Linked DNA regions of Struthio camelus. The protein of the gene in region 1 purifies or fractionates together with the protein of each later gene. This does not show direct contact. Links are inferred from orthologs where the notes say so. Each region holds a gene or a part of one and is shown in the gene's direction. Other genes may lie near its edges. The genes, in order: RAB7A, VDAC2, ARL8B and PLEKHM1.

Region 1 (6,966 bases):
TAATCCCTTGCAATCTGTGCCCTGTTCTCTACCCATCAGCAGAAGCATGGATCAGAGACCTGCCATGAGCTAAAGGGATTACAATTGCTTCCTATGGTTGGTGTCTGGTGATCAAGTCTTGTCCAGAGCCAGCTTTTTATTTTCATGTATTGCTGCTGCTGTAACACTTAGAAATCAACTGAGGATTGCAAAGGTGAAAGCATTAGTAGATTAATGGAGTGGTATTTGTACTGCAAGCAGGAATTAGAGACGAGGGCAGGCAAAAGACTCTTGCCAGTGGAAATGCACAGGTGGTCATGCAATAGCAGAAGATTTTTAATGTACAAAATGCCAGCAGAGGCAGAGTGAACCTGCTTTAGACAAGAGTAAATCAAAGAGTGACAAAGCTTGGAATACAAAAGCAAGATATTGTATGTTTGCTGCATCTTAGTTCCTCTTTTTTATTTCAGTAAGTTAAATCATTATAATGATAATTTGAGGAAGCTGGTCTGGAAAGGCAGAGGTGGTAGAGGAAAGCATTGCAAAGCTAGTTGCGAGAGCACAGCAAGGATCACAGGACAGACAGTTTTCACTGAGCAGTTATTGTCACGATGGGCTGGTGCTCAATTTCCCAGGCTCCACAGGCAAGGAAAGATCCTGGGGATGTGTCCAACGAGGAGGGGGAAGGCCTGCTGAATAAGTATCAGAGGAATGAGCAGGGCTCACTCCAAGCTTTTAATGTCACAGATGGCCAGAGGTGGAGTGGCTGTGTGTCCATGGGAAGGTGGTGAGCGCATTATGAATGCAGGCACTTTTGGGAAAGTCACATGTTCACAGCTAATGTCTACGGTTTGCAGCTACTACAGCTAAGCTTCCGTGCAGGTTTTCTGCGTAGACCTCTCTGCAAGCCCTCCCATTAGCAACCAGCGGGTGTTCTTGTGTCCATGCTATTTCTATTCACAGTGTCTTTTTAGGGACTAGAAAGGGAGGGCCCATTTCGGTCAAAGGACAAGGGAAGAGATGGTATAAGGCATATCATGTTTTATTGTTTCTAATTGGATCAGAAAGATTGGTAAATAGAGATGATTTGTCACAAAGAGAACAAGATCAAAGCTGGAGATATTCTTACTTCCTGGTTTAGAGGGATGGGTGCGTGAAGTATGTTGAGGTTGCTACACTGGTAAATGTCTGAAGACTGATCGCTATAAAATCAGGGACCCACTCACTCGTGTCCCTCAGAGCGAGAGAACTAATTTCTTCAGAGTGATGTTAGTGATTGGGAACAACTGGCATTGAGTTTCAAACTGATCCATTTTTAAGAGGTTTCATTGGGTTTTGCTATTATGAAGGGGTCAGATGAGAAACGCTGTTTTCTTCGCAGGCTACTGACGCTAAGCTGTGCTGTCCAGCTGGGCTGGGCTGCTCAGTGCACAGCGTTCCGGTTTCTTCCAGGCCCTGGGTTCCTTCTGGTGGGAAGGTGTGCATGTGTATGTCCGTATGGCCAGGCAGAAACACAACAGCCTCCACTCAGTACATCCGTTTACCACTTTCTTACCATTGTCTTTTCCCTTTCATTCTGCCACTGTGAACGTCAGTGTGAGCTGTGCCAAAAGACGGGAGACCTACATGGATAGCAAGGACCTCTCTGCTGACATCGGTCCTCCTGAGCGCCAGGATTCATATGTACTTCCAGGCAGGCAGGATCTTGCCTCGTCAGTCTGAGGACATGCAGCATTTCCAGAGAGGATCAGAAACTCATCATGAGCAATTAGTCCATGACACCGCTGTTGATCATGCTAGCAAGTGACACAGGAGCTTGGTGTGAGGTTATTCTCAGGATAATAAAAATATGTAATAGATGTAGGTTTTACGCTACACTGGTGCCAGGATCGCTCGGTGGTAGAGAAGAAGGAAGAACTTTCACCCATGGTTTTTGATTGGCTTTCATATCATGTAAAAAGAAAGGAAAAAGGAAGCTTTCAGGAAAGAGAGCAGAGGAACACTGTAACTCACCATTAATGTCTGCTCCTAACAGCCCAGCATGTGGGGGGTCTCCTGCTAAGGGAACTATGCAGACCGGGGCAACCAAGTGCTCTGCCCCACCTGCTGTTGGCATGTCCACGTGTCCAGGGCCTGCAGTCCTGGGGCTGAGCTGAGAGGATATTTTCCTTCTCATCTAAAGAAGACATGCATCTTTGCGAGGGTTTTCTCCATCATTTCACCAAGCAAGGCTTTTCCTCTTTTGTTAGGTCCTTGTTTTAATTGATAACAGGTTCTTTTGCAGCTCTCTGCATTTAATGGAGCACCTTAAAAGCATTAACAAAGTAGATGTCATGGGCTCCCCTGTCTTGTGAGGAGAGTGCCACAGTCCTGCAAATATAGAAATTAGAAAGCAGTAATAAACTTGCCAGCATCACAGGAGGAGAACCCAGCAGCCCTGGCTCCCACTTGCCTTCTGTTAGTCTGCATTTCCACCACAACCTAAACCAGTCTAAGGAGCAATGACGGTGTCCTGCCTCACCCACGCCTTCCCTTGCTTCAGCTGCAGCCTGCATGAAGCCAGTTCAGTGCACTAAGCTGGCAGAGAAATTATCTTGTGCTCCTTTTCGTGTTAGTTGTCTGCAGATTTAATGCTGAAGTGACTCAGCGCAGGGTCAGACGAGAGCCGGCGCTGGCATAAGGAAGGGAGAGCGTGAACGTGTGTACTTGAATTTGGGCTGGGCTGTCCTTTGGAGCCGAGGTGGTTTTCACAGCAGTCAGTGTGGAGGCTTCCCTTGACAACAGAGACTCCAAATCGGGCTCAGTCCCCTACGCCACTGCTGTCGGACTTTAGTTCTAAAGTAGGACACTGTAAATAGCATGCCCCGTGTTCTCTGTGATGGATAGTGAAGGGATTCAAACCAGGCCCAACAGATTATAAGGATTTTAATAGTACATTTGCTGTGCTCTGCGATCATAATTCTGTTGATCTCAAACCGCTTTGCAAGCATTAATGAATCAAACCTTGCAGCGTCTTTCTGGGGTAAGCATTACTGTTTCCAGGTTACGCACGGGCAAATTGTGTTACCAATGCAGAGAAGGCAAGCAATTTGCCTAACGTTACGTGGCAGATTGTCTCAGGACAAAATAAAGACCAAAGAGGAAAGAAAAAGCACTCTGTTACCAAGCTAAAAGTCCTGCCTGGTGTATACTGTTCAGAAGCAATTTCCTTTTTTAATGAAGCTATAAGTGGCTTCATTACTTTTGCCTCTTCAACGAGCTCTAAAAATACTTTTTTCCTTGGTTGCTTTAGTCTTTGCGTTCCCAAGCTTATGGGCCAACTACAGCTACAATAATCATGTGACGTGGATGAACACAACAGAATATTCAAGTAAGCGCTGAATAATACAACACGCTCGCGGCCAAAACGCCGAGTAGGAAACACAGAGCGCGCTTGTACCACCAGGATGATGCTTCTTTTCTACAGCGAGGTGCTAGAGAGTTAGTTTACGTAGTCCCATTGCATCTGCCTTCGTTGCTGATCTTGGCACTGGTTGTTGCTTGATTAATCAACCTGAATGTGTCTTAAATTGCCATATTTTAATTTACAGGGTTTTTTTTTGTTTTTTTTTTTCCTGTGCTGTTGCTACTATCTCACTCCGGATCCCAGAGCAGCTGGGCCCGGCAGGGACCTCTGGAGACACCTGGTCCGAGCGCCCTGCTCACGCCAGACTGCCCGGAGCAGCTCGCCCAGGGCCACGTCCAATTGGGTGCCCAGTTATCTCCAAGGATGGAGCCTCCACAACCTCTGGGCAACCTGCTCTCCTCCCATGACATGCTGCAGCCCCCCCCCCCCCCCGCTGACGCCATTTGGCGGGAGCCGTCACGCAGCCAGCCGCACACGGAGGCTTCGGCGCCCCAACATGGCGGCCGGCCCGCCGTCACGTGACGCGCCGGCGCCGGCGCCACCGCCCCTTCCCCCTTCCCGTTGGCCCCGCGGCGGCGCGCTGACGTCACGCGCGCCGGGCGGGCCCCCGTGACCGGAAGTTGTCGGGGGGAGGCGGAAGTGAAAGCGGGGAGGCGGTTGGGTCCCATTAAAGCCGAGCTGAGGCGAGCAGTGGGGGGAGGCAGCGAGTCTCGGGCGGGCGCCGCGGCCACACGCAGCACGGTGAGTCCGGCCGCGAGCGGGGCCGGGGGTTCCCCGCGCACCGTCTCCCTGGGGCCTGGTTGTTGTTGGGGGGGGGGGTGGCGGCGGCGGCGGCTCCGCCCCGGTGCCGGGGGCCGCGCGGGGCCCCTCCCGCGGGCGCCGGGCCCTGCCCCGCCGCCGGGCCCCGGGCGCGGCCTCGCCGCTCCCCCCCCCCCCTCCTCTTCTCCCCCTTTCCCCTCGACGGGCTTGGGGCGGCCTGCGACGCCGTGCCGCTCGGGAGGACAAAGCCGCCGCGGGCCGGGCCGGGCCCAGCCGCCTTTCGCCGAACAATGGAGCCTCCCCTCAGGAGAAGTCTCAGGCGGCTGCCGGCGGTGGCTGGCAGGGAGGCGAGCGCGTCGCTGGCGGTGTGCGGCTCCGCTGGTGCTTCCCCTCGAAACGTGACGAGGGCTGGGGCCGAAAGGTGTCGTCGGCGCTGGTCTTGGGGCAAGCGCTGCCCGGGGTGGTCGGTGGGTAGCGTTTTTAGGGGTGAGCAGCTTGCCCCCGGAGCAGTTAACGTGATGGAACAGGCAGCTGAAAAGACTGGCAGTTTATTGCGAAAGTAGCTCCGTGTGTTTGTGTAAAGCCTGAGTCAGTTTTTAAGAAGTATTAGACTAGGTGTCAAAAGTGCTTTTTGGCTGTGAGTGTGTAGTGAAGTAAGTGATAAGTTACAAATCTGCAGGTCCATATAGGCTAATAAATATGGAAATATCTAATAATAGTACTTAGGACAACTGTCCTGTCTCCTGTAAGTAGAGGAATTCTTTTTAATAGTAGAGTAGCTATAAAAAGGCCCTCTTAACCTAAAGAGAGGTGACCTCAGTGTCTAAATGCATGAGTCTTACTGAATAACTTAATCCTTTGAGTTGCATCTAGACTCCTTAATATTGCCTTCTTCAAAAATAAAAATACTAGCTGACAAGTAGAGCTGTTGTAATATGTTTGTGTAGGATTTTTATATATAAACTGAGAGCACATAGCAGAACCAAGTCCTCCCAACTGTAAGCAAGCTGAGCTCTACTTGGCAATTACTAAGTTGGAAGCTTTAGGGCTTCCCATACTTGTCCTTGGCCAGCCAACTCTGTTTTTTGCCTAGTACTCTGCATCTAGTATTACTGTAGCAAGTAGAAATTGAGGTTGGGGAGTGAAGAGCTCTCTTTCTGGGGGAGAATGGTACCTAACCAGTTGTGCTACAGTACTTGGTTGGCTCTGACTTGAAGGCTTACTCGCAGCTATTTTATGTTTACAAGCTGCGATGATACTAGTAGTGCCTGATGGAAACTGCAGTTGGGCCATGCTTCCTCCAGGGCCAGGCTACCTGAGCAAATGTAGCCTGTTTTCTTAGTAGCAGTATTTGAGGTGAAAGTGGGTGGAGTCATTTGACTATTCCCTGTTTAAATAACCAGGGCCTCGTTGCTGTACTACTTTAGGAAGAACAAGTATACTTGTCTCTTTCCCCTTGTGACTTCCAACAGCTGACTAAACACATGACTCGTGCTAAGTGAACTAATGAGTAGACCCACCATGTCTGGCCTGAGTCTTTAGCATGCAAAGCAGCTGTAATACTGTTACTTTCAAGTGTGCTGCCGTTTATCTTCTGTGTGCTGTTATGCTAAAAGGCTACTTCTGGTGTAGAAAAGCTGTAAGATGAGGCTAATCTGCCTCCTCAATAAGGAAAACTGTTTTAAAAACCTGTGGCAGTCCCTTGTTCTCTTAACCTGCAGAATTAAATGTAACCAGTAAGATCCAAAATAGCAGTTATATTAAACTTGCCTCTTGCCTGTGGTGTCACTTGGTGGTCTAAGTCCTCAAATGCCCTACTAATAGTTCACCGTGGCCCTCTAGGAATGGTACTGTAAAATACGAAGGTGCCAAGCTTAAAAGCTGAAATAGCTGTGTTGCAGTGGCTACGCTGCAGGCATCCTTGTCCCTGCTCCCCCAAAGCCAATGGCTCAAACTGTGCAAAGCAGCATAGGCATGTTGCAACATGGATGAGTTCTTAGCTGAAAGTGAAATCATGGCTCTGCTGTAGGCTCTCTTCAGAACTCACCTAGGGAAGATACTGCTCTGCTTGGTTTACTACCCAGACTGGATGTTTAGGGACAAGAGGGCTACCGGGTGCAGTTTCTGCAGCATCTTAAAGCTCTTGTTTTAAAACTCCTGTGCTAGAAGGTCATGTGAACTACCTGCCAGAGCAAATCTCTGGCAAAGCTTGTCCTTGAGGAAACATGACAATTGCAATCAAACCATCTGTGCACAACTATAAATAGCCTTGCTTCTAACATGTATTGGATTTTATTCTGACTTCTCTGTGAAAATGAGACTAGTTTATGCAGAACTTAGCATTTGGCTGTAAACAAAATTGTTTGCGCTTGATTAGGATGCGTTTTCCTCCAGTGCTGCATCTTGAGATGGGTGCCTGGCAAGCCATGGTTTAGGAGTAAAGGCTGTGGAATAGGATGGTTGGATGTTTGCATTCCCTAAACAAGTTGCTGGGTCTCTGGGCTCACAGGTGTGTGCTGGTAGTTCTCCCTCATGTTATAATGGACCAATTTCTTGAGTATCTGGAGTAGCCTGGGCATTTGATAGCCAGGCACAGAATTCTCTTGTCTCGCCTGCTGCCAGTGTCCCCAAAAAGCAGTCGTCTGGGCTTCTCAACTGTCACATATACTGCTCTTAAGCTCTGGTTTCTAGGGACCAGCTGGTACTAAGATCCCCTATAGTACAGCAGGGGGTTTAAAGCTTTTCCTCTTGGTGGAAGAGGGTCAAGATGAGAACGTGCTGAAATGCTGAACTGGGCTTTAAAGTCAAGCTGTGCACTAGCA
Region 2 (7,167 bases), on another chromosome or scaffold:
TGGGATTTGCTGCCCAGTCATTAGTTTCTGGTAGCAAGAAACCCAGATACCACTCCTCATTTTTTCCCCTCTCCTTGTTTTAAACTCTGGGCCGCTCCTTCTGGTCTGGGCTTGTCAGGGATTTACAGAGATGCTATTTGCTCCCAGCTGCAGGTCTTCACCTGGCAGGGTGTTGAGTTGAAGGAATCTCTTGGGTGCAACTGTAGGTGTCCTAGTACTTAATGCAAGGCATAACATGGTAAAGATTACCCTTTATTTGTGTTAGACACCTAGTATTTTCTCATATTCTGCCACAGGCTTCAATGTTTATTGATTGGGTTTTTAGTTCATGACAATGTAAAAAAATAAATGTTTCTGTTTTACTCCAAGATATGGCTGTGTTTTTTTCCTCCTCAGGTCTATGGTGGAATTTAGAGATAATCATTATCTTGGATTAGCTTAAATTTCACTGCTTTAAACCTGCTGAAGCTCTTTCATACGTTTGCTCAAGTCATAGGAGTAGTTATGGTGTCATTTTGTTCACCTGAGTATTTTCATGCCATGAAGTATTTTCCACATCAAAGCTAGCCTGGCCTAAGTCTTTCAGAAAGAAGCCACTGCCTACTTTTCTTTCTTTATTTATTTATTTTTTTAATTACGGGCATTTTCCAGCATACAAATCAAAGCTTGATAAAAATTCATTAGCAAGTTTAGCTTTACCTGTCCAACTGCTATTACTATGTGGTAATAGGATGTGCAGTCACAAACGGTAAGAATCTTCTATGGCATACAGATGATTGAAATGGCTAAGTGTAATGGTGTATGAGAGGTATGTTCTAAATATAGGACTGAAAAGCAAAAAATCCATGCTTTGGTCCTGTCTTTGATTCCAGCTTTCTCTGGGGTATAAAACGGGGAAAAACATCTTCTGTGTGATATCAGACACAAACATTTGCAAAGCAAACAGTAGTAAGGTCAGGGGATAGAAAGCTTGATCAGAAATGAAAGGGGAAATGTTAATAACACAGCAGAAATGAGTTTACTTCAGGTGACAACTGCTGCACCAATCAGTCAAATCTATTGATCCACTTAAGTGATTTGGGAACACTGGGCATCTCTCTCTGGGTTTTTCCAATGAGTTTTACAAGAATGGTTGTTTCACTTACAAATCAGCATTTAATTATTTGAAAGCTCTTACTGGCTGCTGAGATAATGTCCTAATCCTTTTATGCAAAAAACTCCAATTGCCCCTCCCTTTCCAGGAGGTATCACCTCCACAGAATGAAGCCTATTAATTTACTCATTTTAGGATGTTAGAAAGCCTGGTGGTTTGCAGGTCTGTCAGGCAGTTGTACCTAGCTTTGTTAGAAAGCTGCTTTTTCCTTGAGCTACAGGAGGTAAAAAATCCAGAGGAAATGGAAACTGCAACAAAAAGAAGAAGAAGAAGAAGAAAGGGAGAGAATTTGCAAATAGCCAAACACAAATCCAAAAGAAGGAATAAGTACAGGCTTCTCTGCATGGGTTAGTTTTCATTTGAGTTTCTCCTTTTTCTTTAACAGAATTTTTTTCACTATTCCTCTTATTTTTTATTGGGGGATATGATAGTTTAACGCTGAGAGTATGCTAGTAGAGTGCACAGCATCGCCACAGGCCCTAACAGCAAGGGCTGGATTTTAGTTTGCTTTGGCTGTAGAGCTCTGGGCAACCAGCTTTGATGAACTATGTAGGTGCAAGGAGCTCTGTGCCTCCGTTAGTCTCCATAGGGCCTGTAAACAACTTGGTTCTTTTATTGGCTTCCCAAGCTTGCCTTCTGCTTGCCTTCTCAGCAATAAAATTGCAGGCTTAATAACATTCAATGGTGCGCCTCTGAGATGAGGAATTACCTAGGTATGAATCTGTGCAGCTTATTTAAAGGTGAGGGCTTCTGTGTGTGTTGTTTTAAGCGTATCTTAAAAGTTGGCTTCAGTTAAACTTCATCCTAATTATTTAACCTAAACTGAAGTAAGGCTACTTTAAAACTGTTGAGAGAAAAAAAATTACAAGGCATCAAGTCTGTAGTGGATGAGCCCTTCAGGTACCCTGAAAGCGTGGACCCTTCCTGGGTCCCCTCTTACGGCTTTTCACGTGCCTGGTTTATTTGAGAGTGGTTGCACCTTATGAAACAAAAAGCATAGTCAGCCCAATATCGTTGCCAATGAACGCCTAAGTAAGAGCATAAGAAGAGAGTGAGCTGAAATGACATCTCTATTTGCACCTCAGTGGTTTTTCTGACTTGGGAGGGATTGCACAGCTGTATGTAATGGCTCAGCAGATTTGTAGTTGGTAATCCTTCACGGGCTTCTCCTCCACAAACTTGTCTCGTTCCCCTGGGAGCCCGTTCAAATGTTGAACATCTTGTGGCAAGGAATGCCACAGCTTAACTCTCCATTGGTTAGGAGGACACCTGCTTTGCTGAAACTTGCTCCCTGCCAGCTTCAGCTGCTTTCCACCCTTTCCCTGCTGGTTATACTTTTACAATGCCTTTCATACTCCCTCAGCCAATTCACTTCTGAAACGAAAAGTCTCAGTTTACTTGTTCATTCGATGGCTTTCTTTAAGGTCTCTTTTTCTGCTCGGTTTCTAATGTGTGAAGGCCTCTATCTTGAGAGGAGGGCAAACAATAACTTCAGGTTTGAGTTAGAAGTGAACATGAACTTATTGAACCTGTTTAATTGGAAACTGATACAGACTCCAGTCACTTGCTCTCTTTTGGTTGGTCACATATGTTTCTTTATCAAGTAATCATGACTACACTACATAGATAAGTAGAGTTTGGAAGTTTACTACAAGAACATACACATCAGATTGTGTTTAAATGTTAAAGTGATTCAGGTTTTTTTTTTTTTTTTCCTCCAAGTGAAACCAGCAAACCGTATGATTCACTGATGTCAGTCATGCATACTCATGCCTGTATTCAAGCAAAGCAGACATAGTTAAACTACGAGTGGGAGGAAATGGCTGACTGGCTCAGACAAGTGTGATACTTGGTTCAGAGTGGAAACCAGCTCATTCAGAGCGGGCGCGCACGCATAGGACGTGTGTGCGCTGAACGTTAGGAGAAGAAAGTGGCCCAGGCCCTGAGGTGGATGCTAAGAAGAAAGATCCAGAGTAATTTTGATGGATAGCTATTGTAGGCCCGAAGACTTGGCTCTCTGCGGTTTAGAAAATGTGCTGTAGGAAATAAGGGATCGTTGTAAGCATGAAGAATGGGGAGAATGAGAGTGAAAAGGAAAGGGAGATGGAAATTGTATCTGCAGGAGCCAAGCATGTTAATATAGAGATGTTCATGCACTACTGTACAGACCATGTCTGTAGTTTGTTCTGTAAAGAAAGTGATTCATTAGTTTTCACTCAGGGTGGAGTACTTGGTGCTTTCCTGGATTGCTAAAAAATAAAGTGAAACCATGACTAAAATCTTCCTCTTAAAGGAGAGAGGAGGGAAAAAAAAAGCCAACTGAAATCTTGTGTAAGTAACTAAATCTCTATTCAGAAATGAATTTTTACACTGGGTATGAATAATAAATACATGTCTTTAAATAATGAACAACTTATGCCCACAATCCATCTTTACTTAATCGGATCTCTGTTTACTCCTAATGTATGTTCCAATGCACATTCAGATGTGCTAGTTGCCATTGTCTCCTATTGCTGTTTATCCTCTCAGCATGTGGTTTTCTTCTTAATTCATCAAGACACATTTCTCTGTGTCATGCCAAGCTCTCCTATTCAAAATTATCTGTATTAACCTGTTGGGTCTTCTGTTGTGAAAGTACTGGACTTGCACACAGGAAAAAAAGAGGGATGCTTATCTTCTGATATAGCTAACAGATACCGGCTGGCATCATGTTGGGCCTTACTGCTAAACTGTGGAGGTTTTATCTGCTGCTAGTAAGCTGGAAAGTTAACTTTGTACCATGTATTCTACTAAACCACTGGTCTTGAATATATTCTTCGTATTGTGCCGCTGTAATTTGTATTTGTAAACACATTTTTTACTACCTTTGAGGAAATGTTGATTAAGAAACCAACTACGCAGAGGTGAACTAGAAATCGTGAGGATGCCTCTACCAGGGTTTCCTGGCTGAGCAACCATTTGCCCTGGTGACTTGGTGACTTCCGCTGCGGGCTGCGTGCCGGCTGCCGCACCGCAGCCAGCGGGCCCTTCCCGCCAGCGGCTCCTCCCCACGGCGGCAGCAGCCACCGCCTGAAGAGGTTTCCCAAGGGTCCGACCTACGCGGTGGGGTGCAGGGCGGGGGCGTTCTTTTTGGGGGGGGGGCGGCTTGGGCAACCAGCGCGAACGCAAGCTGGCAGGAAAGGGGTGGCGGCCCTTGCTCGAGGGAGCGCCCCGCCGGCTGTCGCGGCCTCCGCCGACAGCAGCGGGCAACCGCCGCCCCGCCCCGCCCCCCGCCGGGCCCCGCGCCGCCGCAGGACCCCGCCCCGCCGCCGGGGCTGCCCCGCCGAGCGCCTGTCGAGCCGCGGCGCCGCCGCCCAGCTTCTCGCCCGGGTCCACGGCGTCTCCCGCAGCGCCCGGCGCCTCCCGGCTGGTGGCGGCGGCGGCGGCCGGCCGGGCGGCGGCGCGGGGTGTGGCGCGGCGGGGAGGCGGCCGGCGGGGCGGCCCCGGCTCGTTGGGGTCCTGCGCGGCGGCGGGCGGGCGCATCGGTGTCTCCTTCACTTCGCCCTCCAGTGCCAGCGGCTGCAGCAGCGCGGCCTCCTCACGGCGACGCCCGCCCGCGGCCCCGGCCCCGGCCCCGCTCCGCTCCGCCCGCCCGCCCGCCCTAGCCAGGTGCCGGCCTGGGCCGCAGGGGCGGGCGGGCGAGGGGGCGCGGGCGGCGGCGGGGCCCTGCTCGGCGCCCCTCAGTGCCGCCGCCCGGGAGGGCGGCGAGGCGGAGGCCGGGGGGTGGGGGCCGGTTCTCGGCACGTTTCCACGCGCTTCCCTCTGCCTCGGGTGGGCTCCCGCGGGCTGCGCGGCGCCGGCGGTTGCAGGAAGGGCGGCGGGAGGGCGCGCGGGCCGGGCCGGGCCGGGATGCCCAAGATGGCCGCGCCGAGGAGTTCACCTTGCGGCGCCGCGGGCGCCTCGGCCCTGGCCCTGGCGCCGGGCCGGGCGGGCGCTGGGCGCTGGGTGCTGCCGCCGGCGAGGGCGCCCGTCTCCCGCCGCGCCCGGGGGGGGCCGCCCGTTCTCCCCACGCGGTGTCCGGCGGCCCGGGGAGGCCCCGCTCTCCCCCTGCTTTCGGTTTCTGAACACCTAGTTCATCTCTGGATGTTTCGTTTTTTTCCCCCCCTCTCCGTAGATTCTCTAAATTGGCCTAGCCATGACTATTTCTCCAGCATGTCCGCCTCCGAGACGTAAGTAGGGAGACAGTTGAAGCAAGGGTAATGAGTTCTTTAAGCTTTAGTAGTACTAGAAGTTTAAAGGTCAGTGTCATGCCCTATATATATAAATATATATATATATTTTTTTTAACCAAATATATTTTTGAATCTACTTCTCCATGCTGATTGCAATATTGGAATACAATTTTAATGTAGTTATTGCCAAGAATTTTTAAAGCTGCAAGGATATTTATTTCTTTATTTTAAATATGCCCTTCAGCCTGATCTTTAATATCCTGAGGTCTTAAAGTTGTTAGAAATCTGTAGAGAAATTCTTGGAATTCGTTTAGTTACAAGATGTAGAAGAGTTTTGAAATAGTACCTCGAGGGAAAGAGGTGATGTAATAATTCTGACAACGTTTATACGCTTTTTTTTTTTGTTAGATTAATTTTTTTTCTCTAACAGAAGAAGAAATCATTCTTGGAGCTCTTGAATAACAGATGTAATTCAACATTTTTTTTAGGGTTGTGTGAAAAGAGGGATAAAGCAAAGGTCAGGATGAAGATCCCAGTTGAATTAATTACTTTCTATGTTTTTGAAATGAGGAAGAAGATTATCTGATATAGATAGTTGCTGTCACAACAAACTTCTTGTCATTGTATGTTATCTCTATTTTAAGCACTTCTAATCACCTTTTAAGTGAAAGGCAATTCAAAATAGGGTTGAAGAAAGCTATCTCTGATTGTAAGAATTTACAAACCTAGCTAACCTACCAACAGTGGAGGAAATGGGAAAAATTTTTTGCCCTTTTTTAATTTAATAGGCTTTTCTGCTGATGACGTTGGCTTATCAGATATTGTGCAAAGCCAAAATTAACTTACGGCTTGCCCTTTTGTATATTCTGTTCCTGCTAGCATAGGACTAGAACAGCAGTGTGAAAGTTGTTTTAACTCTTTTTTATCACGCATCTTGCACTTGTCTGTAGGCTGGAATGTCAGGCAAACATTTGTCAGTTTCCTTGCAATGGGAAGGATGCTTAACTAGGCCAGATAAAGCAGCACTATCCTTTTGCTCTAGTAATCCTTTCAGTTTAGACACAGATGCCAGTTTACTCACTTCCCAGGACATTGTTGCTTAGCATAAATCTCTTGTCTTTGGTGGTTTGTCTACTCAGATGGGAAACAGTGTTTAAAACGAAAGCAGAAGGCTCATTTATTTTAACTGTCAAAATACGTTTGTGCTAGAGGCTATTACAAAACTTTACAACTAGAAATAGTTTTTCTTCTAGAGATGGTAGTTAAAGGAAAGACCCACTTACTAGAGAAAAATACATAGCTAAACTTTTTCTAAATTACCTAAACTACTAATGAATTATTCAGCTGCTGTATAGCAGAAATGTAGAGTGAGGAAATAGCAGTGTCCCACACTTCCTTGGAATTTGGTCTGAATAACACCTGCTTTTTTATTGCATAAGTAATAGGAAGCGTTTTCTGACTTGTTGCTGAGATTGATAATTGTTCTGCCATAGAATCTTCTCTTCCTGAGGCTTATGTAATTTATTGTAATGTAATAAACTTTGACTTGGGCTACACCATTTTAACCTTTAAGCGCTTTACCTTTTTTTTCAGAGTGGGGCAGGTTTACTTTAACTCCATGCAAAAGCAAACTTGTTTTGTAATCTCCAGCAAGAGCTAGATGTCTTGCTATGGTGACCTGGTTGTAGAGCTTAGAGTGCCTTACTAAAGAATGGTTATTTTTTTAAAGCTAAACTGTAAATGCATAGGTGTAAATGTGTAGGCTAAGCTGGGCTTGGATGGGCCTCTTATGTTTTAGGAAGG
Region 3 (7,820 bases), about 4.5 Mb from region 1:
TCCGTGCCCGTTGCCTTTGGGCAGTCGTAGCGCGAGGCTGACACGTAGCTCACGCGCGCTATCGCCCGCCAGCCCGTCTCCTGCTAGTCTTTTAACTGCGACTTGAAAATGCAGAACAGGATCCAGGCACCACCTGCCGGCGCTGAGAAGCAAGAGTGCCTAAGCTGGGCCGACTGGTAGGCACAACTCTCTCTCCATGCGCTTCGCAAGTTGGGAGAGTTTCTGCCGCCTCTGACACGGAGGAACGAGGAGGCCTCGTCTCTGAGGCACCACCAATTTCAAAGGCATTTTGCAAACGGCCGGCTCAGTCCTTCTTGAAAGGAAATTAGTGTCAAGGCGAATTGAAGGCACGTATATCGGCCTCCCTAAAGTATGAAATATGACTAAGAAGAAATGCAAAACCGCATAATAACATTGATGCTATTATTTTATCACGGCTCCTCGTTCAGCAGTAGACGGAAGGGTCCCGCAGCACGCTTCTGTAGCTAATCTGATCAATTAGTTTCTTTGCCTGCATCAGCTAGTGGGAGTAGTCTTTAGCTGAGGGCAAATTAAAGAAATGTCCAGTAAGATATTCTATTTTGAGAGGAGCCGTCCTATTTTCTCATACTAATGACAGGCTCAGAAATCTGCGCACGGTTTAGCTCCTTATTAGAACTAATTGGTGCCAGGCATTCCCTCCTCTTTGATACTGCTAACCACGGGTATGAAATTTTCTGAGTTAATGAAGCATTAAATGGATTAAGACCTTTGAAAGCGTAGCTCATATCACAGCTTATTTGCAGGGAGTATATTAGCTGGCTTTTTATGGATACAAAGGAAAGCCATGCTTTGGGTTGGGAAAATACCGGCGCAGCCGCCTCCCCTACCGCTGGGGAGCGGTGAAATTTCTCATTTGAGGGCTGCAGCGCGGTGTCATTCATAGCAGGTGCCTTCCAGGACGGGCCACGCGCCGTCCTGCACAGTCCAGCTCACCGCGTTCGCTGCAGCAGGCAGGTACGGCAAGGAGCTTTTTTCCCTGCGTGCAGCGCATATAATTCCTCCTGCGTGACAGTATGCAGAGAGAAACCAGTTAGCACAGCTCTCCCAGCAAGGCCGGGGAGCTGCCAAGCAGCTGAAGGGCCAGCGACAGGTTTCGCGTGGATCCCATTGGTGCGGCTGGCAGGGCTGACCGCAGACTGTTGTGCCCTCGCGTGCAGTCCCCGTGGTTTTACGCCAGAGCAGTTCTGTTTGCTTTTTCAGTCCTGTTTGACGCTGGTCTACGAGAGCAGATTTGGGCCCCTCGTTCTTATCTGTTGACTCAGCAAAATAATGCAGCGTGATTTAGAGAATTTCCTTCCGGCAGTGATGGAGAAGGAGGGCCTTTAACAGCAAAAATGAAAATACAGCTTACTGAAATGACTTGTGACCACTAGTTTACCAGGTGAGTTAGAATATTCCCATGTACGCACATGTGCACATCGCTTACCCATCAGTACTAATTTGGCACCATATAATACTGATGAAGTCTTCTGTATTACCTTTGGTGATGTCAATGCTTTCCTGAACGGGCATGGAAAAACCTGAAGCTTTTGTCCTTAATAGGAGATGTAGAATATTTTTTCTTGCGTTATCCAAACATTATAAACTTTTATGGTTCATCTGAGGATATAGCAATTTACTATTTTACATGATTACGTAAGTTTGGTAACTTAGGAACTTTGTAATTCAAATAAATGTCTACCCAGCTGTTTATGTATCCTAAATATATTGGGGCTTATTTATCGTAGCCCCGTGAGAGTCCAGCGGTTCTCCTCTTGTGTTTTGTAACCTCCAGGGAATTTCCAGGAAATGTCTAGACGCAGAAAGTGATGCTCTGACTCCTGTTTTTACATGCTGTTTTCTTCTCATGTGGCCATCTGCAGACAGGTCCTCCTCAGATGCCAGAAATATCCTGCAAGCCACAGCAACAGTAATTGCATTGCTCTAAGTGCTCTGCACTGCTGCAATAATGAGTGCAACGATTCCCAGGGTGCATATGCAGACTGCTGACGGTGGAAATGAGGAGGCAAAGTCAAAGTCTAAAGGCCTGAGAAACCCTGTATGGAGCAGTCCATAAAACAATGTAACGAGAGCAGTGCTCACTGAGGCCTTTCCGCTCATTGTGAGAGGGATTTTGGAGAGTCCTGTGATTTGAAATGAATACCGAGAACAGAAGATTAACTTGAGATAATGAATTTTATCATTCCTTTTAAGCTTAAACACACTTGCAGGCCTTTTGTTATACTATACATTACAGCAAGATTTTACTGGGAGAAGCACTCATAGTGTTCAAACGCTGACATATGAGAACCTGCAAATGCCTGAACTACTCGGTGGCTTGAGAGAGAATAGACATAGCATCCCCATTAGCTGGCTCTGGAAGCAGCTGGTAATAAATCACAAAGTCTATTGCCTGAAAACCATGCCACAGAGGAGATGAGCCTTGCTTTACACAGAATTTGCAATACACGTGGAAAATCTCCGTGATATCTTCACAGTACCGGAATAGACAGGGGGAATCATGTTGTTGTTTTCAGCTACAGAACTACTCAGTCCTTCTCACATTATTTTGTTCCAGTGGTTGAATTAGGAAATTGGATTTGCTCCCAGGAGCAAAATACTCATTTATCACCTCATGGCAAACATGATTGCTGTATAAGATGTGCTAGTGCCTACTCCGTGTACTCCAATGCGTGCGCACCTCAGGACGCTTTTATGTGCCAAACAGCGATCCATATCTAGGGAAGCACCTGACCGCTCCGACTGGCTCTTTGACATACCACAGCTTTTAGCTCCTGCAACATCTTGATCAACTTATATGTTAGCAAACCACGGTCAGAGAGAGACTCGTGGAGATTTTCTGCGCCTGTGCTTTAACCCACAAACAATTAACAAAGAACGCTACATGCTGCCAGATCCTTGAGGAATGCAATATACAGAACAATGCACTATTTTGCCTCCCCCAGAAGGCTGGTGAGCGCCCCACGCTTCGGCGAGCGGTCGGGGCGCTCGGTTTTTTTTCAAGCGAGACCAATGCTGATATTAATGACGACCCTCCTGGGATATGCCAGTCACATTTCTGGCATGTTAGATCTACCCATTTATGTCTGTCAGTGATAAAATCGGTGCTCGTGATGTGTAAGCATTGCAGCTGCATTTTCCCCATTAATTCTAGGGAGCCAAACCAGAGACGGCAAAGAAACCTGAGCGCGAGCCGTGCAGGAACCGGGTGCCACTGACTGTTTCCGCTAGGGATATTGCGGGGCTCAGCTATTGAACGCCACACGCTCGCGTATTCGGGTCAAACTATGACATTTAGCCACTGGAGGGTAGCGTGGAGCTGTGCCGCGGCGCGGAGCTCAGGACGGCATGGCGCAGGGCTCAGCTCCACCCTGGCCCCCTTCCTCGCCCGTGGGGCTTCCTGCCAGCTCCATTCGTTGCGTGAGGGTCTGCCCGCGCTTAAAATCGGTTCCTGTACATAAGGTCATCCTCTGCCAGGTCTGGAGTCCCCAGAAATGCTGCGGAGAGGGGATTTAGCGAGGGCAGAAGGGGGGGAAGAGAGCCCCGGGCCAACGTGCAGCACCCACGACACCGCCGCTCTGGTTGTCTGCAAGGTCCAGCAGAGCCTCGCTGGGGCCGAGGTGGTTTTTAGCGCCGTCCGACCAGGGATGGAGACCACCGCCCACCCACCAGCAGCTAACGAAGCAACAGCGGCGACGCACAAGCTGCAGCTAATCCGTCGCCGCCGTCTTGACTCTGTTCATCCCGCTGTGCGCTACGGGGGCGTGGGTCCCCCAGTGTTTGTAAAATATTTCGATATAGGCAAGTGCAAAGCCGTTATTTTCCCAAGTATTGGCAAGCAACAAACCCTGTCCGATACCCCACGTTTCGTGCTTCTTCATGGTTCGAGTCACGGAAACGTTTCGGCCTCGGCCTAAGAAATCCTGAGAGGGGGAAAAAATCATACTTCAAAGAGGGGGAAATGTTCTCATTTCTTGGGCAGCTTTTAGACCCCTTTCGATTTCTTTTTTCTTCCCCCCCCCCCCGGGTAAATCTGTATTTGCTCGACTGCCATCCCTGCTGCCCCGGCCTCGCGCAGCCAACGCCAGGGTTTAACTGCAGGGCGGGTAGCGACGGGGGGTTTTATGGAGGGCCCGCGCGCCGGGGTCCTCGGCGGCGCCTCTCTGGGGCGCGGACGCATCGCTTGGAGCACGGTGCGGCATTTATGACGGAAACGAAGCTGCCCAGCCCCCGAAGCGCAATTACGAGAGTCCCGTCAGCCTTGCTTTCACAAAACACACGGGGCGCGCGCCGCTTGGCTCTCCCACTCGGCTCCCGAGAGCCGAGGGATCCCCGCCGCCGCCGCCGCCCGGACCGGCGCGCCGCAGGCCTCAGCCAACGCCTGGGTGGAAACGCCACGCAGGAGGGGCGGACGCCGGGCGGGCAGGCGTTTCCAGAGCGGGGCCAGTTGTGCCCGAGTGGGCTGTGAGAGTGGATTTTAAGCGCAGGTGGGCGGCTACTTTTTTTTTTTTTGGGCGGGGGGGGTATTGCACGCCTTTAGCCGCCACCCCGCGCTGCCCACAGGCAGGCGTTACACAAGATGGCGGGGGCGCAAGATGGCGCGCGGGGGGCGAGGAGGGCGCCCCTCCCCCCGCCTCCCCGCCGCCGCCGTCCCCCCCCCCCCCCCCCGCAACGGTCCTCCCGCGGCGCTGCGCGGCGGCGCTGCCGGCAGGGGCCGCTGCGGCGCGGGCGCGGCGGGCCGGCGGCGGCGGCGCGGCCTCTCTTGGCGGGCGGCGCGGCGGCGTCATATGACGGCGGCGCGGGGGCGAGGCGGGTCGCGTCGCAGCGAGCGGGCGTCGCGGAGGCCGCGCCGGAGCCCGCGCTGAGGCAGCGCCTCAGGGCCGCCGCCGTCCCCGTCCCCGCCGCCGTCCCCACCGCCATCATGCTGGCGCTGCTGTCGCGGCTGCTGGACTGGTTCCGCTCGCTCTTCTGGAAGGAGGAGATGGAGCTGACGCTGGTGGGGCTGCAGTACTCGGGCAAGACCACCTTCGTCAACGTCATCGCGGTGAGCGGCCGCCCGGGGCGGGGGGGTCCCGACCGGGCCGCGCTGGGCCGCCTCCCCCCGCCGCCGCCGCCCTGTGCGCTCGCAGCCTCCCCGGGGAGCGGGAGCCCCGTGGCCCTGCCCGGGCCCGCTGGTCCGGGGCCGAGCGGGCTGGGAGGCCTGCCGCCGTGGCGCCTCCCGCGGTGCTGAACGGTGTCCGGGGGAGGGGGGGAGGCTTGCTTGGCTTCGTCTGTGCCCTGTTTTTGGGGGGCACGCGGTGGAAACCGCTCCGAGAGGTGAGCTGCGTTGGGGGTGGTCTGGGAGGGGGGGGAATGAGAGGGAGGCCTCGGGGGGGGAGGCCCCGGTGGGCAGCTGGCGCACCTTCTTATTTTGCAGGGGGTATGACCACCTGGTGACATGGGAGCAGCCGGGGTGAGGCTGGGTGCACCTCCTGCCTCGGATCTGAGCAGGCCTTGTTTTGAGGCTGTGTCCTTAATGCTTTTGAGTGCTGCTGTTTGTTGCTTGGATGGGTAACTCGATAGGAAAAAGATTGTTCTTCTGTGTTTGCCTATAATCCTTTTTATGCTGATTAGCTGTCAAAACGTAGTAAAGGTATTGCATAGTTGAGGATATTAGTGCTTAGTGGACCTCATGGTAATCGCATGAAGTGGATCAACCCTAGTGAAAGGTAACTTTTCCTCTACTTAGGCTAAGCAAAAGTTGCTGGATTAACCTGAAGTGCAACTGTTGAGGTTGTTCAATCATTTTTGTTCCTGCTTCCAAGTTGCAGGATAATTTGAGTAGAATTATCTGCAGTAGTAGAGCTGATATTGATAGTAGTTGAGCTGTGATTACAACTAAATTTGGGCAGTGGGGTTACTCTACAGGTTTTTCCTCTCCTGGAGTCCTGGATGGCGATGGCCTTGCGCTGCTGGTACTACACAAACAGGAAAGCAAAGCAGTAGTTTGTACATCTCGTTTGAGGAGTTATTTGTGAAACTATACTCTAGATATGTAGAGTTGTACTAGTTGCATAGCAATTCAGCCTATGTAGATTGTCTCCAGTGGTAGAAGTACTGCTAAATAAAGCTGACATCTTTATCCAGCTTGCTTTGCTAGGAGTTGAACCTTACAGCTGTTCAACTGCACAGTAGGATCACATGCAGAAATTTATCTGAGTAGGTGTCATTCAAGTAGCCTTGCAAAACTGAGTGAATTAAGGAAGTTATGCATAGTATGCAACCTGGTTAGGTTAGCTGGCTTAGGTTTGGAAATAGCAAGTCACACTTCCCAAGTTTTCAGTTAGGGAATCTAGTGACTTGTGGGGTGGGGAGAGTGGAATGGAGTGAGTATGTCAGACCTCAGGGACTTGGTCACATTTTTATTACTGTGAAAACAACAAGAAAAAATAAACAAAACTAGCTTGAGCTGCACAATATTGCTTCTCGCAGGAAGAGTAATGCAGCCCATGGCACGCACAGCTCACTTCTTGTCAGTTGCTTCTTTGGCTTATTTTAATTCCTGATGTGCATTTGGAAATTAGCACCCAGAAAAGAACTGCTCTCTGCAGACCAGTTAATGGTCTCGATGGAAGTAGCTGTCAAAGCATTGGGATGCTATAAAGCTAAAATGAAAGGAGTGACACAGCAAGATGCTAGTCCTATAGAGTAGCTCTGAAAACTGGATTGCATACCAGGAACCTGGTATGGCTTATAAGGTTGCTTCCTGTGTAACAAAGCTGTTGCCGGTCTTCTAACAGTGTGTTTAATCTAATGGAGTTCTCTAATGTAATCTTCTGTGTTGCGTGGGTACCCAATCAAATCAAGCATATGTAACCGGCTTGAGATTTTTTTTTTTCCTCTAGTTACACAGGAGCCTGGACACAACTACTGCCTACCATGAAGGTGGAAAAATCCATGAAAGGCGAAAAGTCCAATTCGACAATGACATTTTTCTAGGTTGATAGTTCTCCTGGGCAATATTTATGCCTCCAGTGTAAACAAACACTTAGCTTGTCTGTAATCACACCAAGCTTAGTCTGACTAGAAGGTTTAAAAACCTTAGCAGGGAGATCTAGTTGTAGCTGGCTACAAAAAATGCAGCTTCTGCTTTGCTGGGGCTTTATGTTAGTCACTGTCTCTAATTAGATATTAAACATAATGAAAATAGTTTTCCATGTGCATGAGTAAACTTGCTCACAAGGGAGACTATCATTTCCTTCTGCTCCTAATTTCCATAATGTAGGTGGCCTATGGCTCTTATTCAGACATACTCTATGTCACTGCTGTGTTGCATCTTGAGTTGAATTCTTAGCTGAGGACTTGAAATGTCCCTTACTTGCTGGAGTCTGCAGTATCTTCTGTTATTTGCATCTCTCCAGCTAGTGTCTGTTAACAGGCTTTCATCAGGCTTGCCGTCAAAGCTGCAAGTCATAGCCATGGTGGTGTGAGATGGTATGACAGAACCAAGCACCACAGTCACGTGGTGCAACTGAAACCTGACTCTAAACTGGCTCTGCTTCCAGGCTATAGGCAGTGAATATAGGTGAATAGTAGGTTGCTGATCTTCAATATCAAAGAAGAAGGCTCACTCTTCCTACTGTAAAATCTTGCTTGAAGCCCAATAGACTGATCCTCCATTCAAGTGTTTGGCACTGAAGCTCTTCAACTTAACGCTCTCATATTTAATGGTCAGGAGAGGAGAATTAAATGGGTGGGGAGGGAGTCTGACTCTCATGATGTGATTGTCAGGTTAAAGA
Region 4 (7,620 bases), on another chromosome or scaffold:
GAGTCCATGTCTGAGTAAAAGTAATCAGCTTTTCTACAGGACAGACTATGAAGTTAATCCAGAGGAAGAGCCCACACCAATAAAACCTAAACCAGAGCAGAGATTAAACACTGCAGGACATTTTTTCTATAACCTATTGGTTAACAGCAGCCGCCGCATTGCAAGGAGTATGCTAGAGAATACGTCTAAAGACAAGGCTTCCTCTCCAGGTGGGCACTTACTGGGCATCCGTCAAACTGACGAAACACATGGGAAGCATCAAAAGGAGGAAGGATTTGATTTCCTCAATAAACCAAGTAGTTCAGACAGCCCAGACACCGCGCCGGTTCAAGGAGACCTGTTTGAAACCAAGTTCAAATATCACCTGCGCTTACTCGTCCCAGAGAAAGCCCTGCGGACGTTCATTGCTCACGTGGCACGAGCCCTGAGGATAGACTGCAGCCTGCCTGCGGTCCAGCTGGCCTGCACAAAGATGGTCTCGAAGATGGGGCTGCTCTTGAAGGTACTCAGTGAGAGGCAGGATCACCAGGGAGCCTCTGCTCTCGCAGGCCGGTGTTTCCTGGAAGGGAACGTTCCCAATGGCACAGCCCAGCCCAGGGCGGCAGGCAGGAAACTCGCAGGGAAGGTAGGACCAACACTGGATATCGCTGGATATGATTTTTCTGGACAATGGGGAATGGAAGGAATAACGGTCTCTCCCTTGCTGATTTTTTCTTCTTCTGTACCAGAAGAAACCAGAGTATGCCTACGGCAACAGGCTCCTGGTGGCAGTATCGGTGGCTGTCATCATCATGCTCTTTCTCACAGTGATTTGTCTTATTGAGGTAAGCAGATAACTCCCTTGACAGACAGCTGCCAGTCAAGCCTTGTAGCTCGAGCGCACAGGGCTGGGATGATGCCTCCCTGTGTAGCTCGTGAAACCCAGAGCATCAATGTGGATGTCTACGGACATGCCGGATAGCTCAAGAGCTTTTTTTCCAACCTTTGAAGCTTGTCATGACATGCACACCACATAGCTCAGCGTGGGTTCAGGCCCTACCATGGGGGCTCATCCCAGCATCTGTCACAAGCTGTCCGGAGGTCACCTAATCAGACTGCCACAGCTCTCTTACCCACTTCCCAGTTTCTCTGAGAGTGCTGTGGTTCTCTGTCATCATAGTTTCTCCCATCAGCCTGTCTCTGAGTTTTACACTGCAATCCCTGCTGTTCATCACCCTGGGCCTTATGGGATCACCTTTTCCAGGCTCTTCTGCCCCTGTTCTGCTCTCCTGCCTGTGCCAAGTGCTTTCAGATGTACAGCAATTCCCCTGCTACTTTCACACTTGCCAAAACCAAGCTTTTCTGCAAAGTAACAAACGTTGGAGGGCTTCCCTAGCTATCTAGCAGCTCAAAATCTCTCAAAAAGAAGCTGCTGACCACTTCAGCAAGGTGCAATGGCTCAGTGTGGGTCAGAGCACTGCCAGAGCCAGGCAGAAGAGAGGGCACAGCCTCATTTAGTGCACTTCTCCTTGCAGAAAGTCTTTATTTCTTTAAAAGCCTACCTACCTACATGTTTAGGATTAGCTTTAAACAGGAGGGGAGTACCCTGCAAAGCACTGCACAGATAAGAAAGGCAGACATAAACATTTCTGAGATTAGGAGAGCTCTGGGAGTTCAGGTCATTTCTAAGGCAAGGAAAGCTGGGAGCTGGGAAGGGAGGATGGGCTCTTTCTAAAAATTTTGCTTCTGGCACAGACTCACAAATTTTGCTTCTGGCACATATAACATGCTTGGTTTAAGGAACAACCTTTTGGCCTCCCTTGTTTTGCAGAGTATGACAAGAAAATCCTGATGTAACAAGTCTCTCTCTCTCTCTCTGCTTTACCAGGTTTGCTCCCAGAAATCTGCAGCTGCTTCCCAACCCCAAACCACCAGTAAATCACGACTGAGATGGTAATTACTCCCTCCACCGTCCCACTGCTGGGCCACAAACAGTCTTTACTCTGAACAGCGCCTAATCGTGGAGCCCCCCAAGGACTCAGGCACTGGCTGCAGAGGAGTCACTAGTCACCAGGGTGGATATGTTTATGTAGCTTTTTAACACACCTAGAAAAGGGACCCCAAAGTGTGAGTAATCAGCACCACTATAAGCTCAGATCTCAACCAGCACCTCCACAGACCCCCCAGCAGCCTTTCTCCTTGCAGTGCAACCAAAACAGCAACCATAAATGCTGGCTGCAGCAGATATGTTGGCCCTGGGCTCCCACGTCGTGCCACACCCCCGGTTCTCAGCTCACTCAGCACTGGCCTGACCATGCTTTGTAGGCAAGAGAAAACACCTCTCTGCCCTGGTGCCCAGCATGACCCTTCTCTGATGTACGCAGTGACAGCTCTGCCCCCACTTCTCCCTGCCCCATTCCCCGTTCCCCAGAGAGGCTGTTTAAGAGCTTGCTCCTCTCTTCTTGTGATGCTCTTGTTTCCAGGCTAAACTAGAACTAATTCCCAGGCATCTTGGCAAACACCATCCCTTCACTTAAAAGACTCGCCTTTATGGGGAGGTTCATCTTCATTAGGGTCCGATGAAACTACCCCAAGTAGGTCGAGGTTTCTGCCACGGCAGGGCACTGACACCCACTGCAGCCACCCCGGCCATGCCACTCTGCAAATGGGCCAGGAAAGGTAAATTCTGCAGAGATGATGCATAAAAGCCTTTCTCCTTCCCTTTCTTTATCCCTAACCCACTAAATCCAGATGTTTCACAGCATCATAAACGCCAGTTGCCTGACCATAAACACGGTGCTGTACTGAGTAGGGGGACCCCAGCAAGGCAGGGTGCAAGTGACCTTCTTAGCACTAACTGCCATCACCAGCTTCCTTTACTTTTTATCATTCTTAAGGTTCTTTCAGAAATTCCTGCCAGGCAGATGGAGCAAGAACACACATGACCTTACAAAGCAGGTAACAGCAGAGGGAACGTGAGATGTGTGTCCCTCTGCCCCCCTCACTGCGCTCCCAGCTATTTCTCATATCTGAAACATTCCCTTGCTTGATGCTTCCCAGGGCTCTCATGTATCAGATCTGAGCAAAAACAAACCGCTGTGGCTTAGAGACATGTACCAGCCCCTTGATTCCCAGCATAAAAAAAACATGGCTCAGAAGTTGTACGATGAAGAGTCCTCAGACGAGGAAGAGATTTTCAACAGGGCTGAACTAAAGTAAGTGGGATGGTGACAGCGCCTGTGTTTGTCTTTCACCTCTCGTTCCAGTGTGGGAACTGCCAGGGTTTACCTTTGCTGCCTTGCTGTTATGTCACCAAGAAAGGTTGCCATCACAGTGATGTGCAGTTGCCCAGAGCAATTGCTGCAATTGCTGATGCCACCACCTTGTCACCCAGGTCCACCCTGAGAGTGGGAGCAATGGTCCCTGTCCATGGAGGAGGGTGCTAGGGAGGCCATGTGCTCAGGGTGCCAGGTGCCCAGCCCTGCCGGATGGGATCAGCAGGGCTACAGGGGATGGGAGAAGGGATGAGCACGGTGCAGCGCTGCTGCTGCCCGTTTAGCCCTGGTCTTGGCTGTGGTCCCGTTTCGGGATCTGTGTCCTGTGAAGCTCACGTCCAGCTCACTGCGCAGGGTCACCTCCTCCATCGCCCTCATCTTCTCTCATCCTTTCTCATCCTTGTTGGACTCAGCCACAAGTCCAACCCAACTTTAATTTTGTTCAGCTTCTGGGAGTGCTCCTGGTGCAGCTCAGCATGGGTGCCCCACAGGGCTCACTCCCCCTTCCCCAGTAGCTTCAACCAATTTAGCTGACTTTGTGGCAAGTTGCAGGGACATGCCATGCCAGGGGTCCGTAACACCCACCTGCCTAGGGGCACCAAGCACCTTGGGGTGCTACCTCCTTCACTGTCCCTCTGCCACCTGGGGGAAAGCCCAGCTTGACAGCTGCTCTTTTCTTCTCTTCAGGAAGCAAGAGGAGCTGCCAGCGCAGCAGGCGCTGGACTGATATGGGGCTTGGGGGCTACGCTGTGCCTCGGGAACTGTATAAAGTTGTGATGTTGGCTGATAGATACCAGGGAACGACTTCAGAATTTACTATTAAAATTAGCAGGTTTTTCAACAAGTGTGAGCATTCTGCGTGTGAATGGAAGCGTGCATGACATGCATGTGGGCGTGTCCAGGGCCGTGCATGCACATGCACACACATGTGTTGTGGCTACCGGAAGGACAGAAGGGACCACGGAGATGAGGGTCCTGCCAAAAGGGTGGGAACGAGTTGCTTGGGCCCCTTGCCATGTTGGGATGCACCGCGTGTTTGTGTGCACACGGCAGTGCTGTGTGCGTGCATGCGTACATACCTCTGTGAGTGTATATGTGTGCATGCATGTTTGTACATCTGTGTGCGCTTCTGTGTGTGCTAGCTTGGGCTTGCGTGACTGTGCAGGTGTGCCTGCCTGCACTTGTGTGCGTGTGTCGCTGTGTGTGCTTGTTAGCATGCCTGCCTGCAGATGTGCGCCTGCGTGCACATAAGGGTGCGCGTGCGCGTTTCCTTGTAATCAGCGCGGTTCCGCCCCCGGGGGCTGTGGTCTCACAGCACCGCCCCGCCCCGCCCCGCCCCGCCCCGCCCCGCCCCGGCGTCACGGGGGCGGAGGGCGTGCGCGCTCCCGGCGCGGCCGGCACTTCCGGGTTGCCCAGCCGGAGGCGCGGGGCCGCGGAGCCGGTGAGCGGGGGGGGTCGGGGGCAGCGGGGAGGGAGGTGAGTTTAAGGGGGCTGGGGGGAGTTAAGGGTGGAAGTGGGAGTAGAATGGTGGGGTGGGGATTACGAGGTGCAGATGGGGTGAGGGTGGGGGCTGGGGGGTACAAGGGGCAGGGGGTGGAGGGTGGGCTGCGGGGAACAGGTTGCTGGGTGAGGGGTGCGAGGGGCCGGGGGTGTGGCTGAGGTGCAGGTGTCAGAGTGGGGTGAGTGAACAGGGGGCTGGGGGGTTCAGACCCCCCTCCCCTTGGGGGTTCAGGGCAACGGGGGTAAGTTAGGGGAGCGGAGGGGGACCAGTTAGGTGCAGATGGGTGCAGGGTGGTGGTGGATGCATGCAGGCAGGCGCCAGCCTCTTCTGTCCCCGCTTCCCGTGAGTGTTGCCCTTTCCCCGACTCACCTCCCGACAGCTCCCCTTGCCCGGCTGCCTGGCACGCAGCCTCCCGCAGCTGCCAGGAGCTGCGTCCCCTCAGGGAGCATGGGCACAGCGGCTGCTGGGGACCTGTCGCCAGACTTGTCCCGGATCCCTGCTCGGGATGCTGTCCCATGCCAGGTGCTGTGTCTGTGGGCAGATGTGCTCTGTGTCTAATTATCTGCGGTGGCCCTGTGCCATGCCTGTCACGGTCTTGCTACTTTTTTAAGCTGCTCTCTCCTTGCAGACTTAAAGGGCTGGTATGTTAGATCAGCAGTGCAAGCATAACACAGAGCTAAAACTCACACTCTCCCATCAGTCGCTCTGATGGTGTATTAAAATCCCTCTTGCAGAAGAAAATTCAGCCTAGTGGTAAAAACGATGGTGAAAAATCTACCATGTCCCTCAGTTGTTTCTTAATGGCTTCCGTGGTTAAAAATGCCCCCTTCTTGTCGCTGCTTTACTCCCTGGCAAATCTCATGCTGATTTTGCCTGCTGAAGAATTCACCAACTTCAGAAACCTCCTCTGTGGGGACAGACCTGGATTGAGGTATCTCTTCTACATGGTTAATCCTTATTTTGCTCTGAGATCTGGAAATCCCTCCCTTATGGCCCTTCCTGATGTCTGCAAATTGGAGGTGTCTTTCTAAAAAGTCTGGATGTTGGAGCTGGACTGGCTCCCTGCTAAGGCCTCACCAATCCTGCACAGAGAGGCTCCACCATCTTTACTGAAAGCCTTGATAATCCCTCTTCTCACGTCATAGTGCTGCCTCAGTTGTATTTATTGCCAGGGGCCTTTTTGAGATTCCTTCCAGAGTGACTGCTGTCTGCATTTGGGTGTCCTGCCTTGCGGTTATGTTCTGGCAGTAAAACCTAGCACTTAGTGGATTTTGACCCCTGTTATTTTATACACATGTTTCAATGCACGTTTTCATTTGAAATGTGATGGCTCTGTGGCCTTTCCCTTTACAAACCATGTCAGTCTCTGTGTTGCATGTGAGCCTCATCAGCATTTTTCCTTCTCACCTTGCCCCAGTACTGCTGCCTCCCCCAGGGCTGAAACAAGGTGAGATGTCTTGTTCGTTGGTGTCTTTTACTTCCAGTATCATCTTTCTGGCAAACTGGGGTGACCGAAGTCCATGTGCTAAGCCCGATCTTTGCTCTCAAGGCAAAGCTGGAGGCAGAAGTATGAGGGAGAGTGTCAGCTCTCCATGGGTTACTTCTCTTTTGTCCATAACCATTTCCTCCCACAGAGGATGTCACACATCTTTGAAATGTGGAATTGGAGGTTATACTGGAGCTTTCCAGCCTCCACTTCTTCTTTGAAGGCAGAGGCCAGGGAAGAGCCAGCTGGATCAACAGGGCAAGGAGGGGAGGAGAGCTCCCTGGGGTGCACAGCCCAGGGACTTTGAGCTGAATCTGGTGAGGGTCAGAGTGACAGGAGCTTCAGGGTGCTCGTATGCTTCATGTCCTCCTCCCTGCATCCCCATGGGAGCTGCCCAAAGCTGTAGTCTGCTGCTCTTCCAGAAGGCCCTAGGAACAGGGCAGGAAGCCCCCCTACAATGAAGCTGTCTTCTCAGCCCAGCAAGCAGCAACAAAAGGGCCTGGAGGCCTCCTTGATTCTTGATTTGCCACATGAGGGTTATGCATAGTTTCAGTCGCGCGGAGGTGACGCCACCCCTGGGAGACACGGTCCTGCCTTTGCCTTGAGCTGGCTGCGATCTGTGCAATGGAGCAGCGAACTGGATCAGGGAACTCAGTCTTCTGACAAATAACCTCTGCTGGTGCCTGGGCTGTGAGCAGCGAGATTTAAGCACTTGTTGCTTGGGCTGGAGAAAGCGGTGGGCTCTGAGATGCTGCCCCGGACTGTGCGCCTGCGAAGCAGATGAGTGGGACTGCGTCCCGTGGGCTCCCTGCACCACAGTGTCCCGTTCCTGCTCTCAGAGCTGCCTGGGGTCATCATGCTCTCTGATTCAACCTTGTATTTACTTCAGCCACATGAGCGTCACGTGCATGGAGAGCTTTTACTGCCACATGCCCACGCCATGGATCAGATGCTCCTTTCCATGGGGTCCCTTAGGTCGTTGCTTATATCTTGTTATAGCAGAAAGCACTGACACCCCAAACCTCTCAGCAAGGTTCATCCCAATAAACCTTACTGTGGTTAGAGATGCCATAGCCTGTGCAGAGATGTTGTCTGCCTGCCAAGCCAGTCCCAGGAGGACTCAGTATGTACTGATAGTGAACGTCTATACAGCTCTCTCTGATTAACAGTGTATTATGTTCTTTATAAATGGCATTGTTCCATTTAAAATGAGCTGTTTTCAACGAGCTGGGCAGTTCTTGTGTTGAGCAGAAAATGCAGAGTTTAAAGAGCCAGTCACTTCTGTTAACTTGCTTTCAAACAGTGTGATACCTTATTTCCCTGGTTGCAGTATGCGAATGCCCTGCAGTATCATATGGCCAGCAAATAATCAGAGAAAC

The links.
Region 2: the proteins of RAB7A (region 1) and VDAC2 purify together in Homo sapiens (affinity purification with mass spectrometry; 3 studies listed by BioGRID and IntAct, with this or other methods). This does not show direct contact. The link is inferred for Struthio camelus from reciprocal best matches to the Homo sapiens genes RAB7A and VDAC2.
Region 3: the proteins of RAB7A (region 1) and ARL8B purify together in Homo sapiens (affinity purification with mass spectrometry; 4 studies listed by BioGRID and IntAct, with this or other methods). This does not show direct contact. The link is inferred for Struthio camelus from reciprocal best matches to the Homo sapiens genes RAB7A and ARL8B.
Region 4: the proteins of RAB7A (region 1) and PLEKHM1 purify together in Homo sapiens (affinity purification with western blotting; 5 studies listed by BioGRID and IntAct, with this or other methods). This does not show direct contact. The link is inferred for Struthio camelus from reciprocal best matches to the Homo sapiens genes RAB7A and PLEKHM1.

Annotation. Positions count from the first base shown.
Region 1 is NC_090955.1:6,976,550-6,983,515, reverse strand, and holds the start of RAB7A (ras-related protein Rab-7a), read left to right. Parts: upstream 1-3,948; 5' UTR 3,949-4,126; intron 4,127-6,966.
Region 2 is NC_090948.1:26,044,035-26,051,201, forward strand, and holds the start of VDAC2 (voltage-dependent anion-selective channel protein 2), read left to right. Parts: upstream 1-4,162; 5' UTR 4,163-4,255; intron 4,256-4,601; exon of another isoform or gene 4,602-4,801; intron 4,802-4,865; exon of another isoform or gene 4,866-4,963; intron 4,964-5,306; 5' UTR 5,307-5,327; coding exon 5,328-5,361; intron 5,362-7,167. UniProt on the Homo sapiens protein: Non-selective voltage-gated ion channel that mediates the transport of anions and cations through the mitochondrion outer membrane and plasma membrane.
Region 3 is NC_090955.1:2,490,729-2,498,548, reverse strand, and holds the start of ARL8B (ADP-ribosylation factor-like protein 8B), read left to right. Parts: upstream 1-4,805; 5' UTR 4,806-4,963; coding exon 4,964-5,086; intron 5,087-7,820. UniProt on the Homo sapiens protein: Small GTPase which cycles between active GTP-bound and inactive GDP-bound states.
Region 4 is NC_090966.1:116,419-124,038, forward strand, and holds the start of PLEKHM1 (pleckstrin homology domain-containing family M member 1), read left to right. Parts: upstream 1-4,601; 5' UTR 4,602-4,695; intron 4,696-7,620. Other genes in the region: LRRC37B (leucine-rich repeat-containing protein 37B), read left to right, coding at 1-625, 729-824, 1,868-1,932, 2,877-2,937, 3,040-3,194, 3,942-3,981. UniProt on the Homo sapiens protein: Acts as a multivalent adapter protein that regulates Rab7-dependent and HOPS complex-dependent fusion events in the endolysosomal system and couples autophagic and the endocytic trafficking pathways.